Diceros bicornis minor: one gene and its partner. The protein of the gene in region 2 interacts with the protein of the main gene of each other region in a pairwise test. Links are inferred from orthologs where the notes say so. Each region holds a gene or a part of one and is shown on either strand. Other genes may lie near its edges.

Region 1 (7,324 bases), on a different chromosome or scaffold from region 2:
AAATGAATGAAAGGAACCAAAATGGAAACAAAAGAGAGAAAAGGAGGGGAGGAGAAGGGAGAGAAAGACGTGTCTAATGCAGCAGAGGAGAAACTGCATATAGCTGAAAGTCAGGAGACACTGGGTCCTAGCTCCTACTATCCATCGACGAGCTGTGTAAATAAGTTATGTGAGTGGCATATAAAATGAGAGTTGGACTAGATCTAGAATGCAAATAATTCTCTGAACACCACAGATACTTGTTTTAAGACATGCTGAAGAAGTAAAAAACCATCTCCACTTTTCTATTGTAGTTGTCAATCAGCTAAGTTCACCACTATAAATAGTATATAGTAACACCTTATTTATTCAGAAGCCAAAGTATAGCTCAGAATCCTGGAGGAAACAAAGGTCACTAAAGAGACACAACAGATGTCACAAAGCCCATACACTAAAGCTAATGTCCTTTATAAACAGACCCTTACGCTCTTATTCAGAGGTTATTTATTCATTTTTTTGGTGACAAAATTGTGTGTGAATTTCAGCAAAATAAAAAATTTTGATTTTAAAGAATCCTCTATGCTCATTTATACATATATTTTTCAATAGCAATTCATGTATCCAGAACAAAATTAAGTGAAAAGTAACTTCCCCTTCCCAGAAATGATCACTGTTACCTGTAACTTGTGACACAAAATTTTGTAAGTTTGATGATCTTGTTTCCTATTTTGAAACAAATGAGAAATAGGGAGGTAGAACTGCATATAAGCAAGATCTGCCCTCTGACAGGAGGGAGGAGACTGAAAAAAATTTTAAATAGGGCAGAAAATTCTCAAAAAGCATACCAGTTTGCAGCAATCTTGGCTAGGAGGCAAGCAGACTTAGGACTGGATGGTTTCTGAGGGTAACTACGTCCTGTGACAGAGAACAATTATTCATGTTCCTATCATCACAGAAGAAAGTCTAAATTCTTTGAGTATACTCTTAAAAAGTTAATGAAAGACAGTTTCTTAAAGCAAAAAAAAAAAAAAAAAAAAATCAAGGAACTAAAATGAAATAAGATTCAGGTATCAAAAAATAATTTTATGTGACATTTCACTTCCCAATCATATTGGCAAAGATAAAAGCCTTAATACAGTGCTCAAAAGTATTCTTGTAAAGTTTCGTCAGTCTTATAAAATCAGCAACTAGGCTGATTTATATGCAAATTTCATCATTTGTGTATAAACGGTTGTCCTAGATAACACATCAACAAGGCAAGAATTTATACCGTAATTGAGTGACACAACATTTGGAAGACAAAACTTAGATGAGTCTGGTTTCTACTCCCAAAGCCTCGAGGCTAGGGATGGACCAGCCCAATTATCTAAACTCTCTAGAGACAGGGTGCTGGTTCTGTGATAACAAAGAAATTAGAGTAGGAGAAGGGGCCAGTTCCCCAACCTGGGAGTTACCAGAAAAACCCAATATGTAACAAAGTAATAGGTAAATAGCTCAAGAAATAAGTAATAGACTCCAGTTATGGCAACACTTCTCCTTAATATAGATAGGCCAACAGGAAGAAAATATCCTGGTAAACAATCATAACAATCAGAGAATCTTTCTGAAACCAAAAGCGCAAGTGCAATTCCATCTGAGACACTTTTACCCGATTAATATTTATGTAGATTTGGAGAAGGAAATTCAAAGTTAAGACCGAGACTCCTGCATTAATGACACTGAAGAAATGGGGAAGAACAGGCAAACTGGCAACATTCTAAAAAACCACAGCATTCTACCACAACTGCCTTTCACACGAGGATTTAAAAAGGTGTATCATAGTTCAAAAGGAGATTGGAAAGTATCCCAGTTGCTCAAATGACAACGTTCTACATCGGAAATGAAACGTCTTCAGACATTAAAGCAAAAATGTGACTCTGGAAAAGCAGCTCAACAAAAGCTGTCCTTGAAGGAGATAAAACACACAGAAAAAACACTGCTATAAAAGTTCTCACTTCCTGTTTGCCTGCCCTGCTACAAAGCCGCAGGTCAGGAAATCAATGTAATTCGTTGTCAAGATGTTTGTCAAGTTGAAAGCGCTGTTAACGGTATTTGCTTCTAGTCAGACTAACAAAACATTGAAAAGAATGCAACACTATTTCTAAAGAAAATACAGGAATAAACGAGTCATTTTTAAGTTTTAACACTATTTTATCTTAAAGAAAAACACAACTAAATAAAAACTTTGAAACGTGAAAAAGCCTCAACGTGCAACTGCGGACAGGGAAGAGAAAAGGAGCACTTTGGGGTCGCTTATAGGAGCTCCCCCATCCGAGAAACAGCACAAATCAAAACGCATCCGTTTTCGGAGCGTGTCAAGCTTCGAGGACCGGTCCCGAGAGTGGATGTGATAGCCAAGATCTCGGAAAGAACCGTCCCTAAGCCCTTCCAGGGCGTTCCTGGGGGACTCGGTTCGGCTCGGCACCCGAAGATCGCACTCGTGCCTTTGAGTGGGAAATGACACTGATTTTCCTTAACTGGCATCTCTAGCGGCCTCAAGCCCCTCCAAACCCCACTCGGCCGGCTCTCTCTCGGATGCAACTCCTGCAAAAGTCCGATGGCCCGAGCCGCTGCGGGACTCCTACCAGCCCGCGGACCACTTCATTCTTGGCGCGGGGGGCGACGGGGGGAGAGGCTGCTGAGGTCAGCAGAAAGCGGGGGCCCACGGAGGAGCCGTCCTCCCCGGGAGGGCGCCGCGCCCACCTACGCTCCAGCGCTGCGAGGGCGGCGGCGGGGTCGGGGTCCGGGGTCGCCCCCCGGCGCAGGGACCCCACAGCGCGCGCCCGGGCCGGGGAGGGGTGTGGAGCTCCGCGCGGGCCCCCCGCCCCTCTCTCCCGGCGGCGCCCCGGGCGGCCCTCCGGCGCCCCGCGCCCCAGGCCCACCTTTGATGCCGGCCATGGCGATGACGTCGCTCCTGGCTCCAGGACCCGAGGCGGCGGCGGCGGCCGGGAAACCGGAGACGCTCGGCGGCGGCGGCGGCGGGCAGACAACACCCGGAAGTGCGCGACGCAGCACTTCCGCCGGCGGCTCGCGCTCGCGCGGGGGCGCGGGGGGCGCGCCGGGCTGGGGGTCGTGGGGCCGACCCCTGCCTTTCCTGCGCGGATCGCCGCCTTCCGAGGCCCTCCGCCCCCGGCCCGACTCCGGGCGGTGCAGGCCGGCGCCCGCCTCCACGGTCTCCGTCCCGGAGCCCCATCGCGTATCCCGCAACCTCCCACATTCTGTGAGGAGAAGGGAGCACGAGTGGCCGCCGTCCTCTGGGAGGCGGAGTGTGATGTCTTCGGGGGATAATTTTGCGTTCTTTAAAGCGCATCCATTTCTGTCTCCTCCCCAGCCTTGTGATAAAGGAGAAGTGAGGCTAGCTGGGTCGTCTGCGCTTGGCTCCTGGGTGTCTTGCACGGAGCTAGGGTTCTGCAGAGAACCCGCTTCCAGAGACAGGAGCCCCGGGACCCAGGAAAGGGTGGATTTACTACAAATCCGATCTCTTGGGAGTCTGAGAAGCGCTGGTTTTTTAGTAGTAACAGGGCTAGAAAAAATACGAGAAAGCATAGGTACAAATGCATTGATTTCAGTCATCCTACAAATTTATTGAACACTTACTGTGTGTGGGGAGCAGGGCTGGGCACTGAGGTGAGCAAAGCTAGGTACGGTTTCTACCCTCAAGGAGCTTGTAGTTTAGTGAGAGAGACAGAGACAAAAATTGTAAAATTGGAACAATGATAATTGCTAGGAAAATGGGTCGGTAGTCCTAAGAAAGCCTTTGCTCTAGATCAGTTAGAAAAGATTTCCCCGAGGGAAGGACAACAGAGGGATGAACAGGTGTGTAAGTAAGAGGAGAGAAAAGGGAAAAGGCGTTACCGGGAGGGGATAGTGTATTGGGGAGGATGAGCCAGGGGGCGAACTCCAGGAGCCGGGAGCTTGGTCTGTTGGAGAGAGGAGAGAAGGCCAGACGGATTGCTCCAGGTTGGGGTGGGGCAGCATGGTTATATAGTAGGGTTCTCTACTTGAAGGAATTTTTTCGTTTTGTTTTGTTTTTTCTCTCTCAGCAATGAGAATCTTTTGAAGGATTTTAAAAAGATACAGGAGGAGGTGGGTGACATAAGATTTGAATTTTTCAATCTTTTCCGTCACCAGAATCAGATACACTGGCAAATAAAATTTTGTTTTGTGAATGGTTGGGAGAGATGTTTCCAACACGCTTTACAATGAGAGCCACTGGGAAGCTCAAGGTATTGTCCACCATGCTCCCCTCCACTACTTCCAGGGTTGAATTACAATTTTTTAAAAAACAGGTCACTTGAGGCTTCCTGCCCCAAATAAATCTATAGATATCCTGTGGAGGAGTAGAATTTTTTTCTATTCAAGTTAGTGCAAAAAGTTCTGCCATCTTCTGTATCAGGAAGGAAGAGCTTCCATTTAAGGATTCTGGTATCAAAAACACGAGGCACACTTCAACATATGCCATGGAAATGCTATTTAGACAGTCTGTGAACCACCAGCTCCCTTTTCTACACTGAAGCAGGCATATGCCTCCTCCTCCCAACCATCTTGAAAGGAGTAGGTAGAATTCCTGGAGAAGTAAATGATTCCATCCCAAATAGTCACCACTAACACCTTTTCTTGATTTGTTCCACGGTATTCCATTCTTGAAAGCAGGGATGGCTGAAGGAACATAGAAGAGAGAGCTGATCAGTGTTGGGGTATTGGTGGTGGGAAGTGATAGGTTCTTATCTCATAGGCTCATAGCTTGGGTCCTGGGGGAAAGATCACGTTTTAGGAAGCCTTTTGGGGCTTCCACAATCCCCAGTGTCTGAGTCAAGTGCTAAGCCCCTAATTTCCTCCTGTGAATACGAATGGGTTGGGCATTACAGACATTCATCTTTGGTGACATTAACGGGCAACTGGGGTTGTTTTCCAGATTAAAGGGATCTATATTCTTTTGCTTCCATGGTAATGGAATCCTAAGAGATTGTGCTCCTTTGACTTTTCCATGAGATCCACAGTGTTTCTGGCAAGAAAACGCTCACTACCCTAAGGACTGTTTTTGGTCTACAGATGTTGTCTAGAGTCACCAGACCTTAAAAACAGTGTTTCCAAATGTTGTATTTCAAAGACCACCTGTAAGAGAATTCTTTGGGATGCATCCTAAAAATGCAAATTCCTGGGTCCCACGCTAGACCTGCTGAATCAGAACTTTTGTGGGCAGAGCCCAGGACTCTGAAATTTTAACAAGCATCCTAAAGATCTCCTATGCAGGGGGCCGGCCCAGCGGCGCAAGCGGTTAAGTGCGAGCGCTCTGCTGCGGGGCCCGGGGTTCGCCAGTTTGGATCCCGGACGCTCAACAACGCACCACTTGTTATACCATACTGTGGCGGCGTCCCATATAAAGTAGAGGAAGATGGGCATGGATGTTACCCCAGGGCCAGTCTTCCTCAGCAAAAAAGAGGAGGATTGGCAGATGTTAGCTCAGGGCTGGTCCTCCTCACAAAAAAAAAAAAAAAATCTATGCAAACTAAAGTTTGAAAATAATTGTCTGAAAAAGCTAGAATGTCAGGAGTTTTCTTCATCAGTTTGCCAAGTGAATCCTAAACTTTGTTACATCCTTTAAATGTTCTGTAAGTATTCTTACATAATAGTTAATCAGTATTACTTCTCATAGTTTCAAAACTTTTTATTCAGATGGCTTCCCATCCTCCCAAGTTAATTCACAAGGATAAGGAAGGAGTGAGAGGAAGAGCTGTGGTTTATTGAGCACTTGCTGTGTGCCTGGTGCTTTAAATATTTATCTGATTTAATCCTCTCCACAATTTTGTTAAACTTGAAATTACTAACTCTTACAGATCAAGTCAGAGAAACCTCAGAGAAGATTTTAGTTTTAGTTTTTAAGAAACTTTTTTTGGTGGCCGGCCCTGTGGCATAGTGGTTAAGTTCATACACTCCGCTTCAGCAGCCCGGGTTTGCAGGTTCGAATATCGGGTGCTGACCTACACACCACTCATCAAGCCATGCCATGGCGGCGTCCCACATACAAAAATAGAGGGAGATGGGCACAGATGTTAGCTCAGGGCCACTATTCCTCAAGCAAAAAAAGGAAGACTGGCGACAGGTGTTAGCTCAGGGCCAATCTTCATCACCAAAAAAACCCCAAAACTTTTTATTGTGGAAAAAGTTAAATATATAAAAAAGTAGTCTGAATAGTATAATGAACTTCCATGTGCCATCAACTACCTTCAACAATTAACACATGGTTAATGTTGTTTTATCTATACTCCTTACCCACTTCCCTCTACCTCCCATGTTATTTTGAAGAAAATTCCAGACATAATTTTTTGTCTTTTATATTTCAGTATGTTTCTAAAAGGATTCTTAAAAATAACATAGCTATAGTACATTTATCACACCCCAAAAATAATTCTTTAATATCATCATATATGAGTTAGTGTTCAAATTTCCAACTGTCTCATAAATGTCATTTATTTTATAGTTCATTTGAATCAGAAGCCAAATCAGGTTGACACATTGCTACTGATATGTCTCAGAGACATTTTAAGAAACTGCCTCTTATCATTTAGATCTCAGCTCAGATGGTAGCTTCTCAGAACCTTTCCTGGGCATCCTATTTATTATAGCACTTCAAATCGTCTTACCTTCTTTTCTTCTTGAAGGCACTTATTATTTATCTGAACTATATTTGTTGGCTGTCTCTCCCACGAGAATGTAAGTTAGTACAATCTTTTATGTTTTGTTCACCACTGTCTAGAACTGTACATGGCAAATGATGGGATCTTAAATAACAGAAATTCTCTTGTTAAGTAATTAATGACCTCGACGTTGCAAAATCCAAAGGCTACTTTTTGATTCAACCTTTCAACAACAGTGGACACTGTTGACCATTCTCTCTTTCTCTCATCTACCACGTTACTACTCTCCTGGTTTTTCTTGTACCTCACGGGAGTTACTTTTCAGACTCTTTCTAGGATCTTCTTCTGCTCAAGGTTCAAATGATAGTGCTCTCTTAGTTTGGTCCTGGGCCTCCTTCTTTGCCATATCTACATTCTCTCCCTATGCATTGTATTTCTTCCTGTGGCATTAATACTTTCTTCATTTTGATAACATAACTACCAAGTTTACCTTAGCTTTGAAATTCAGACTTGTATATCCAAGTGTCCATTTGACCTGTTTACCTGGATGCTTAATAGTCACCTCAAACTTAACATGTGGAGAACAAAATTCTCCATTATCTTTATTCCAATCCTGCTCTGTCCTACTCCAAGCCCCCATTGTTCTGCCTCCTCTTGTTCCAATCTTC
Region 2 (7,163 bases):
CAGCAGCTGTTTGTGTTGAAAAACTAAAATATAAAAATATGACCTATGTGGCCAAATCCCACAAGGCTGTTTATTTCCTTATTTATGAATCAGAATCTGTCGGTATAACTTAGAATCTTGACTGTCAGCATATACTGAAATTAAATGTCCCTGCAAAGCCAGCAGAGGGTGCACCAGGGCACTAGAAATTTTACCCAAGGTGTAGCAGTATCAATTTATCTCTAATAGCTGATCAACTTTTCCTTTTTTTTGTTTTTTTGGTATGCTAAAACTAATATCCTCAAGATAAACTTAAGTTGAATCTGGGCTAAAATTTCTTCAAAGCATACTCCAATTCTCCTGAAAGTGAAATTCAGGAAGAATAAGGATACATGGTTAAACTTAGTCTGGCCAAAATGTAGGTAAAGTAGCAGAAAATGATGCAGATCTGAGCCTTCTACTTTGTAAAAATTCTACTATGGAGCTCCACCCTATTCCCTCCAAAAAGGCTCCAGGAGGTAGTATGCTATAGGGGAATGGGCACTGATCTGGGAGTCAAGATATCAACTTCCATTCTAATTTTGACAATAGTTGCATGACCTTGGACAAGTCACTTCCCCCTCAGGGCAAGGGGATCAAACAAAACGGACTCATGTGGCCTCACAATTCTAAAAATTTCTGACTCTAATTGATGTCAACAAACGTAAAGAGCCAGTATGCTTGCGTCTACTGCTCAAAAAAATTAAAACAAAGAATAAAGGATAGACAATAGGGAGCTGTATTTAAACCAAGACAGAACTATTTGAAGTGCCATGCAAAAGACAGGTAACTAAATGCCATTATAGACCTGTGAGAGTCTCACACCATCACAGAAGCCCTAGACTACAATTGTCCTGCTAATCTTCAGTCCATAAACATGGGTCTGTCTATTCTGAATGCCAAAAAGCCTTGGCCATCATTTGACTAAGGAAGCTCAATTCCTTCATCTTTTCACAGAATATTAATGTTCAGCTGCTAAGTATTTCTACTGGGCATTGTTGGGGGAGGAGGGGGTTGATAGATAAAGGGAGCCAGAATCCTAGTTAATTATCATTTAGCTACAGTGTTTAAAGTTTCAAGTATGAGAAGCATGTCTACTGATTCTCTTCTTTGATAGGCTGTTATATAAGTTGGAGTGTGCTAGCAAGACATTTTAAGGCTCAGGGCAACTTTACAATGCACAATGTAGAAAATGTGTGAGTCCTAACATTACAGTATTATCATGAATGTGATAGCAGCTTTGAATGGGTGGTCAAGGTAGCACAAATAATGTTTGCAGAGTATGACAATGATTCTGGATGTGGTAGAAAATATAGAAGGCCTGGGTCCCTGACCTCAAGGAAATTATTTGCACAACATGCCCTCTTCGCCAGGAGGAACAAATTCACTATTATTCTTTAACCACCTCAAAAGGATTCTTAGATGCTTCTCAAGTTTCACATAAGACAAAATATGGCAGTCAAGAGAATACTTATTTTAAGTGCACTAGATTTACTTGAATAAGGAGCTAGAAAAAGTAGAAAACAAGCAGCAAAGCTAATAGTTTGCTAACAAGGGCACAAACATCATAAAGTTTGCAAAAACTGCTCTTGAGAGATTACTCTTGAGTAATTATTCCATCAGTAGATTCCTGGTCTCAAGCTAGCAGTAGCGAAGGCACGTTACACGCCCCCTCCCTACCCACCCCCCAAAAAAGAGTCAGAACTGGCATGCAAAGGGTGAGTTTTATTTCCATAGATTTTTTTAAATTGCTGTTCAGAAGTTGTCTAGCAAGACGGCATATTTCTACCAGAATTCCTCAGGGGCGCTGATCCTCACTAGAACACTGAGGACAACCAGTCTCAAATTGCAGGTAAGTGTGAGCAAGCCCACGTTCTGGTCAGCGCAGAAAGATCCGCGCTGAAAATACGATTAAAAGTTGTTTCAACCGGCGTGGAGCATTTATTACAGCTGTTTACAGCTCCAACACCAAAGGAGAGCCTGCTAGTGCTGGCATCAGCTCTGGGCACGAAAAAACAAGCACCGCGGGCAGAGAATCTCACCAGGAGCAGAAGGGCCAAGTTGCTGCCGTTAGTCCGCCAGAAGGGCAGCGCCGGCACCTCCGCCCCCCGGCCCGGCCGGGAGCGCAGCCAACTTTTCCCGAGGCAGCCTGTAGCCGGGGACGGCGGGCGCAGGCCAGAGTTCCCAAGTCCTGGGGTCCTGAGAGAGTCTGGGTGAGCCGAGCCAGGGGTCGGGGACAACCTGCCCCGGGGCAACCTCTCCCACGCCCGCCTGCCCCCTCCCAGGTCCTACCCTCCAACTTAGCTCGAGGTGGCAGAGTCCTCCCCAGGGCCCTGTGGGGGAGGGCCCCCGCCCTGCCCACAAGGGGAGGGGGCCTCTGCCGCCGCCACCCCTACTAGGTGACTCACCTGGTGCCCGTCCTGGGAGTCTGGGGGGAATGTGGTTTCTCCCGGTTCCAGGGGCTGCTGCTGAGGTGACGGCTGCCCGAAGTGGCGGGTGATGGAACCATCAGGGTCCAGGCCACCGGAGCTGCTGAGGGTCCCAGAGGTGCCAGGGGTGCCGGGGCCGCCAAGGCGGGACTCGGCTCCCCGTTCCCGCCGCAACTCAGAGCGCAACTCCAGGTAGCAGCACAACGTCAGCAGGTGGAGGGCCAGCGAGAGGCCAAAGAAACCCAGGAAGAGCCGGCAGCTGTTCCCTTCGCCCGCCCGGGCAGGGGCCCCGCGACAGCCGCAGCCCTGGCTCCCCCGCTCCCGCGGCGCTGCCGCGGGCAGAGGTTCCCTTCGCTCTACCTCGGGGTAGCCCATGGCCTCCGGAGACGCCCACTCTCTGAGGCCCGGGAGCCGCCGCGTCTGCCTCAGCGGTTCACGACCCCTGACAGGCGGCTACTGTCCTGCCATCGGCTGGGGGCTGCAGGGACCCGTTCCTGCGCTACGGGCGCTGGGCGGGACGGAGCAGGGAGCAGCCGCATGTGCAGCTCCACTTCGAGGGGTGGGAAAGGGAGGAGGACGGGCGGGAGAGACGGGCGGCTGGCCCTCGGAGAGAATGAGGGAGGAGGCCCGGGCCGACCCGCCCCATCCCTCAAGCGGCTGCCGGGACACCCAACCACCGGGCCCGCCAAGCCTCGGCGCCCCGCCCCCGGCCGTTCCACCCAGGGCCTCCAGCCGCGGGGCGGGACCTGGGGGCGTGTGGGTTCGCCTCTGCCTGGCGGCCCCACCCAGCTCTTCCCGCTTGCCCGGTTCCAGTTGGTGACTGCCGCTGTCGTTCATCCCTGGACTCCGCCCCAATTTAACCCTGTAGCGCCAGTACAGGGGAGAGGGAAGAGAGGGAGGCTGAGAAGAATTTGGGAACCTTGGAGAGAAAGTAGAGCAAAGAAAAGGAGGCAGAAACTAGTATTAATAGAAATGTTTGCAATTAACTGCAGTTGTTAATAACATCATCCAGTACTTATCTGTTGCTTTCAATCTTCAAAGCATTTAACAGACGTTAAACTAATTAAAACAGCTCTGGGTTTGGAATGAAACCATGCCTGCTGTGTTTGCAATCCAATGGCGTGGCAAAAGAAAGAGAGACCCAGGAGCCTGAGAGCCAAAGGGAGTGAGAATGGGGTGGGACTGAGGCAGCCCCACTCTTACAGTGAGTCTGGGGCCTCAATCTAAGTGACGGAGAAACCCACCTGTGTCAGGTGGGAGTGAAGTGATGTTGCCCCACCCGGGGTAAAACAATCCACTAGGATTTCTTGATATATTAATTAATTCAACAAATATGTATTGATCTCTTTGCAATGCAGAAACTGCTGTATGAGAGAATCCACAGCCAGTATAGTTTCTCTTCTTCCACCGCGGCAGGATTTTTGAGTGGAGAACACGTGCCTTCAATAAGAAAATGGGGAAACCGAGGACCAGAATGAGGTGGATTTTTACAAGGGTGGTCCACAGAATGGCCAGACAATATCGGCATCTCTATTTGCAGGCAACTGTTCTGGCCTCTCCACACCCCCCTCCTCTCCCTGGAGTAGTCCCTGGGGGAAGTTCAACAAGTCAGCCAAATGTTCCAGATGTACACTGCTTCAACTGCAGCATCTTCAACAGCTGCACCAATCAGAAAAGGGTTCACAGCAAAAAACAACAAAAAAAGTGGAAAATGTCAGAACAATAGACCCTGAAATGAAGGATGGAAAGGATTAATTGAGTCACAATTGACAAGACTCACTAGTCTGAGATTATAGAGAACTGAATGACCATAGCAGGAGAAGTATGTATGCTTCTTTGTCACCATGCACTCTCATTCCCATGTTATGAATAATTAGCAGTTTTTTTGACTTGAAATGGCTAGGCCTAAGACCTAGACTGGTGGGAAAGAAGAAAAATAGGGAGAAATGGAAAAGAAAACAAAAGAAGAGAAACAACAAAACAAAAACAAAGCATATGGTAGAGCCGTCAGTCCAGAGTGCAGAGAGGTCATAAACCTTAAATATATTAGCCACAGCCAACTTTTCTTCCAGACACTTTGTGAAGGGTCTCAGTGCTTCAGAAACGTCTTTGTGTCCCCTCGTTGGCCCTTACCCATGAAATATAAAGTTTGCAAAGAATATTATCATCATGCAGATAAGAAAATAAAAAAGGGCGCTTAACAGCTAATCTCAAATCCTGCTTGTTCAGTCTAGAAATTCTAGACTGGCTCTCTCTGGGTCACTCTGAGCAAGTCACTGTGCTTTTTGAGACCTTAGTTTCTCCAACTGTAAAATGACGAATTTGAACTTGAACAGCTATAACATTGTGTTTTATCTGTGTTATCACTGGCTGTGTTGACTTGGTTACATACACAGTTCAAAAAAGCTGTCCCTTCTTCCCCTAAAGTGAAAAGGGAACAAGTAACAGCCATCTCCTGGTAGTGGAGGTGGTGCTCAGGGGCCTTACTGGTCTCAGCTTACCATGTTTCACCAGCCTTTCACCAGGATGACTGAGACTCTGAGTTGCACCATTGCCCTCAGAAGCCCTGCAAGTTGCATTTGACCTGGGACCTCACTTTGGTTCCCTGGAGGAAGAACATATGACTTCATATGCAGTAGAAATGTTGGAATGCGGCAATCCGGTGAGGAATGTATGTAGTTATTTTTTAAAAGTGTTTGAAGTGTTACTTCAGTTAGCTTCTATGCTTCCATAAGTACTCCATCCCCTACAGCACAGATATCAAAATGACAGTCTGCAGGCCACATTCAGCAAATGGAGGTGTTGTGTTTGGTGCAATGTTGGCTAAAACTTTGAATTAAAAAAAATACTTGCCAGCATTTAGAAATTAGGAGGTTTCACATTAAAAATCCAGATTTTCTGGGGCCGGCCCAGTGGCCTAATGATTAAGTTCGTGCGTGCTGCTTCAGCAGCCTGGGGTTCACAGGTTCAGATTCCAGGCGAGGACCTATGCACTGCTTATCAAGCCATCCATGCTGTGGTGGCATCCCACATATAAAATAGAGGAAGATGGGCATGGATGTTAGCCCAGGGCCAATCTTCCTCAGCAAAAAGAGGAGGATTGGCAACAGATGTTAGCTCAGGGCTAATCTTCCTCACTAAAAAAAAAAAAAAAATCCAGATTTCCTGCTGCTCTATTAAAAAATAAGAAAACCTGCCAACACTGGATCCACATTCCCATATGGCTACAGTCAGCTAGAACTGCCCCCTTGAAACAAGTGTGAGCAAGTTCTGCACAATCATCCCCATCTGCTTCCTCTAGTCTCCATTACTGTCCTTGTCACTCATTTACCTTATCTGTCTGGCCCCGAGCACTCTAGGAGACAAAATATCAGCTCCTTAGCATGACCTATAATCTGCCTGGCCAACCTCATCTTCTGCTGTCCTACAAGGAACCCATGCTACCACAATACTAAATTTGTTGACACTTCTAACACTTCTGTGTCTTTGCACAAACCGATTTCTTTGCCAGGAATGCCCTCACCTGGGAAACCTGATAAATTCTTCAAGAATCAAATCATGTGTTTTCTTGATGCGGCCCCACAACTCACTCCAAACAGGTTTTCCTTTATGCTTTCACTGCACCCTGAGCATATCTCAATGATATCACTTACTGCATTGTGTTTTTATTTTTTCACATGCTTTCTCACCACTAAACTGTGAGTTCCTTGATGGTAAAAACCATGTCCTTTCCATTTTGGCAGTCCTAGTACCTAGCATAGCAGCTACCACATAGTGGGCACCAGTATTGTTTGTCAAATGAATGGGGCATGAAGTCTGAGATGGTTAACTTAGACTACCTAGAATTCCAAAAAGGGAACTGGGCCAAGCGGATGCCTGTCACTTCCACTTATGAAGCACCTACTGTGTGCAGAGCTGTATAACACATTATGGAAAGATATCAAGGAAATTGAACCAAACGGCAACTGTGCAATTATCCTCTTATTTGTCCTACTGTTGGAGTTGTGGAAAATCCAGAAAAGTAAATAATCCAGAAATTCAAATATAATTGGTTTGTAGTACTTCACTGGTTTTCTGGCCTATAAAATTTCCCTTCCTGATTTTGTATGTGTGGGCCTAATATTAAAGCAATATTAGTTGACAATACCTGAATAATAAATATTCAAAATGAGTTGACAACTTCTGGCAGAATATGATAAGGAGTTGGGCAGGGACTGGTTTAAAATACCTCTTAGCTCTGGTTAATCCACAGAACAAATCATAGATATCAGAGAGTTGACTCTCTGACCCACTTAGGGATAAGCAGATAGATAGTCAAGAGGAACATGGGCTTAGAACTTGGATCCTGGTTTGAATCCCAGCGTATTCACTTGCCAGCTGTGTGACCTAGGACAAGTAGTTTTTGCCTGTCTTTCAGAGCCTCAGTTTTCTCATCTGTGTAATGGAAATGACAACATATGCTTTGTAAGAAAGCTGTGCTTAAATGAGATGCTATATATCAAAGTGTCTGGCACAGCAGAGTAAATGTTAGTCTTTGCCGTCTAAGAGACTTCCATCAAAAGGAGATGATGACCGGGCAAGAGAAACAATAGAAAAAATAAACAAATGGGACTACATCGAACTAAAAAGCTTCTGCACAGCAAAGGAAACCATCAACAAAACGAAAAGACAACCTAACAATTGGGAGAAGATATTTGCAAAGCATACATCTGATAA

The links. The genes of interacting proteins can lie anywhere in the genome.
Region 1: the proteins of EDA (region 2) and LEPROTL1 interact in binary tests that used the Homo sapiens proteins (3 or more experiments, as listed by UniProt). The two-hybrid records come from large-scale screens. The link is inferred for Diceros bicornis minor from reciprocal best matches to the Homo sapiens genes EDA and LEPROTL1.

The regions. Positions count from the first base shown.
Region 1 is NC_080768.1:27,856,429-27,863,752, reverse strand, and holds the start of LEPROTL1 (leptin receptor overlapping transcript-like 1), read right to left. Parts: upstream 3,013-7,324; 5' UTR 2,917-3,012; coding exon 2,901-2,916; intron 1-2,900. UniProt on the Homo sapiens protein: Negatively regulates growth hormone (GH) receptor cell surface expression in liver. May play a role in liver resistance to GH during periods of reduced nutrient availability.
Region 2 is NC_080781.1:63,071,555-63,078,717, reverse strand, and holds the start of EDA (ectodysplasin-A), read right to left. Parts: upstream 3,014-7,163; 5' UTR 2,823-3,013; coding exon 2,427-2,822; intron 2,218-2,426; coding exon of another isoform or gene 2,089-2,217; exon of another isoform or gene 1,708-2,088; intron 1-1,707. UniProt on the Homo sapiens protein: Cytokine which is involved in epithelial-mesenchymal signaling during morphogenesis of ectodermal organs. Functions as a ligand activating the DEATH-domain containing receptors EDAR and EDA2R. May also play a role in cell adhesion.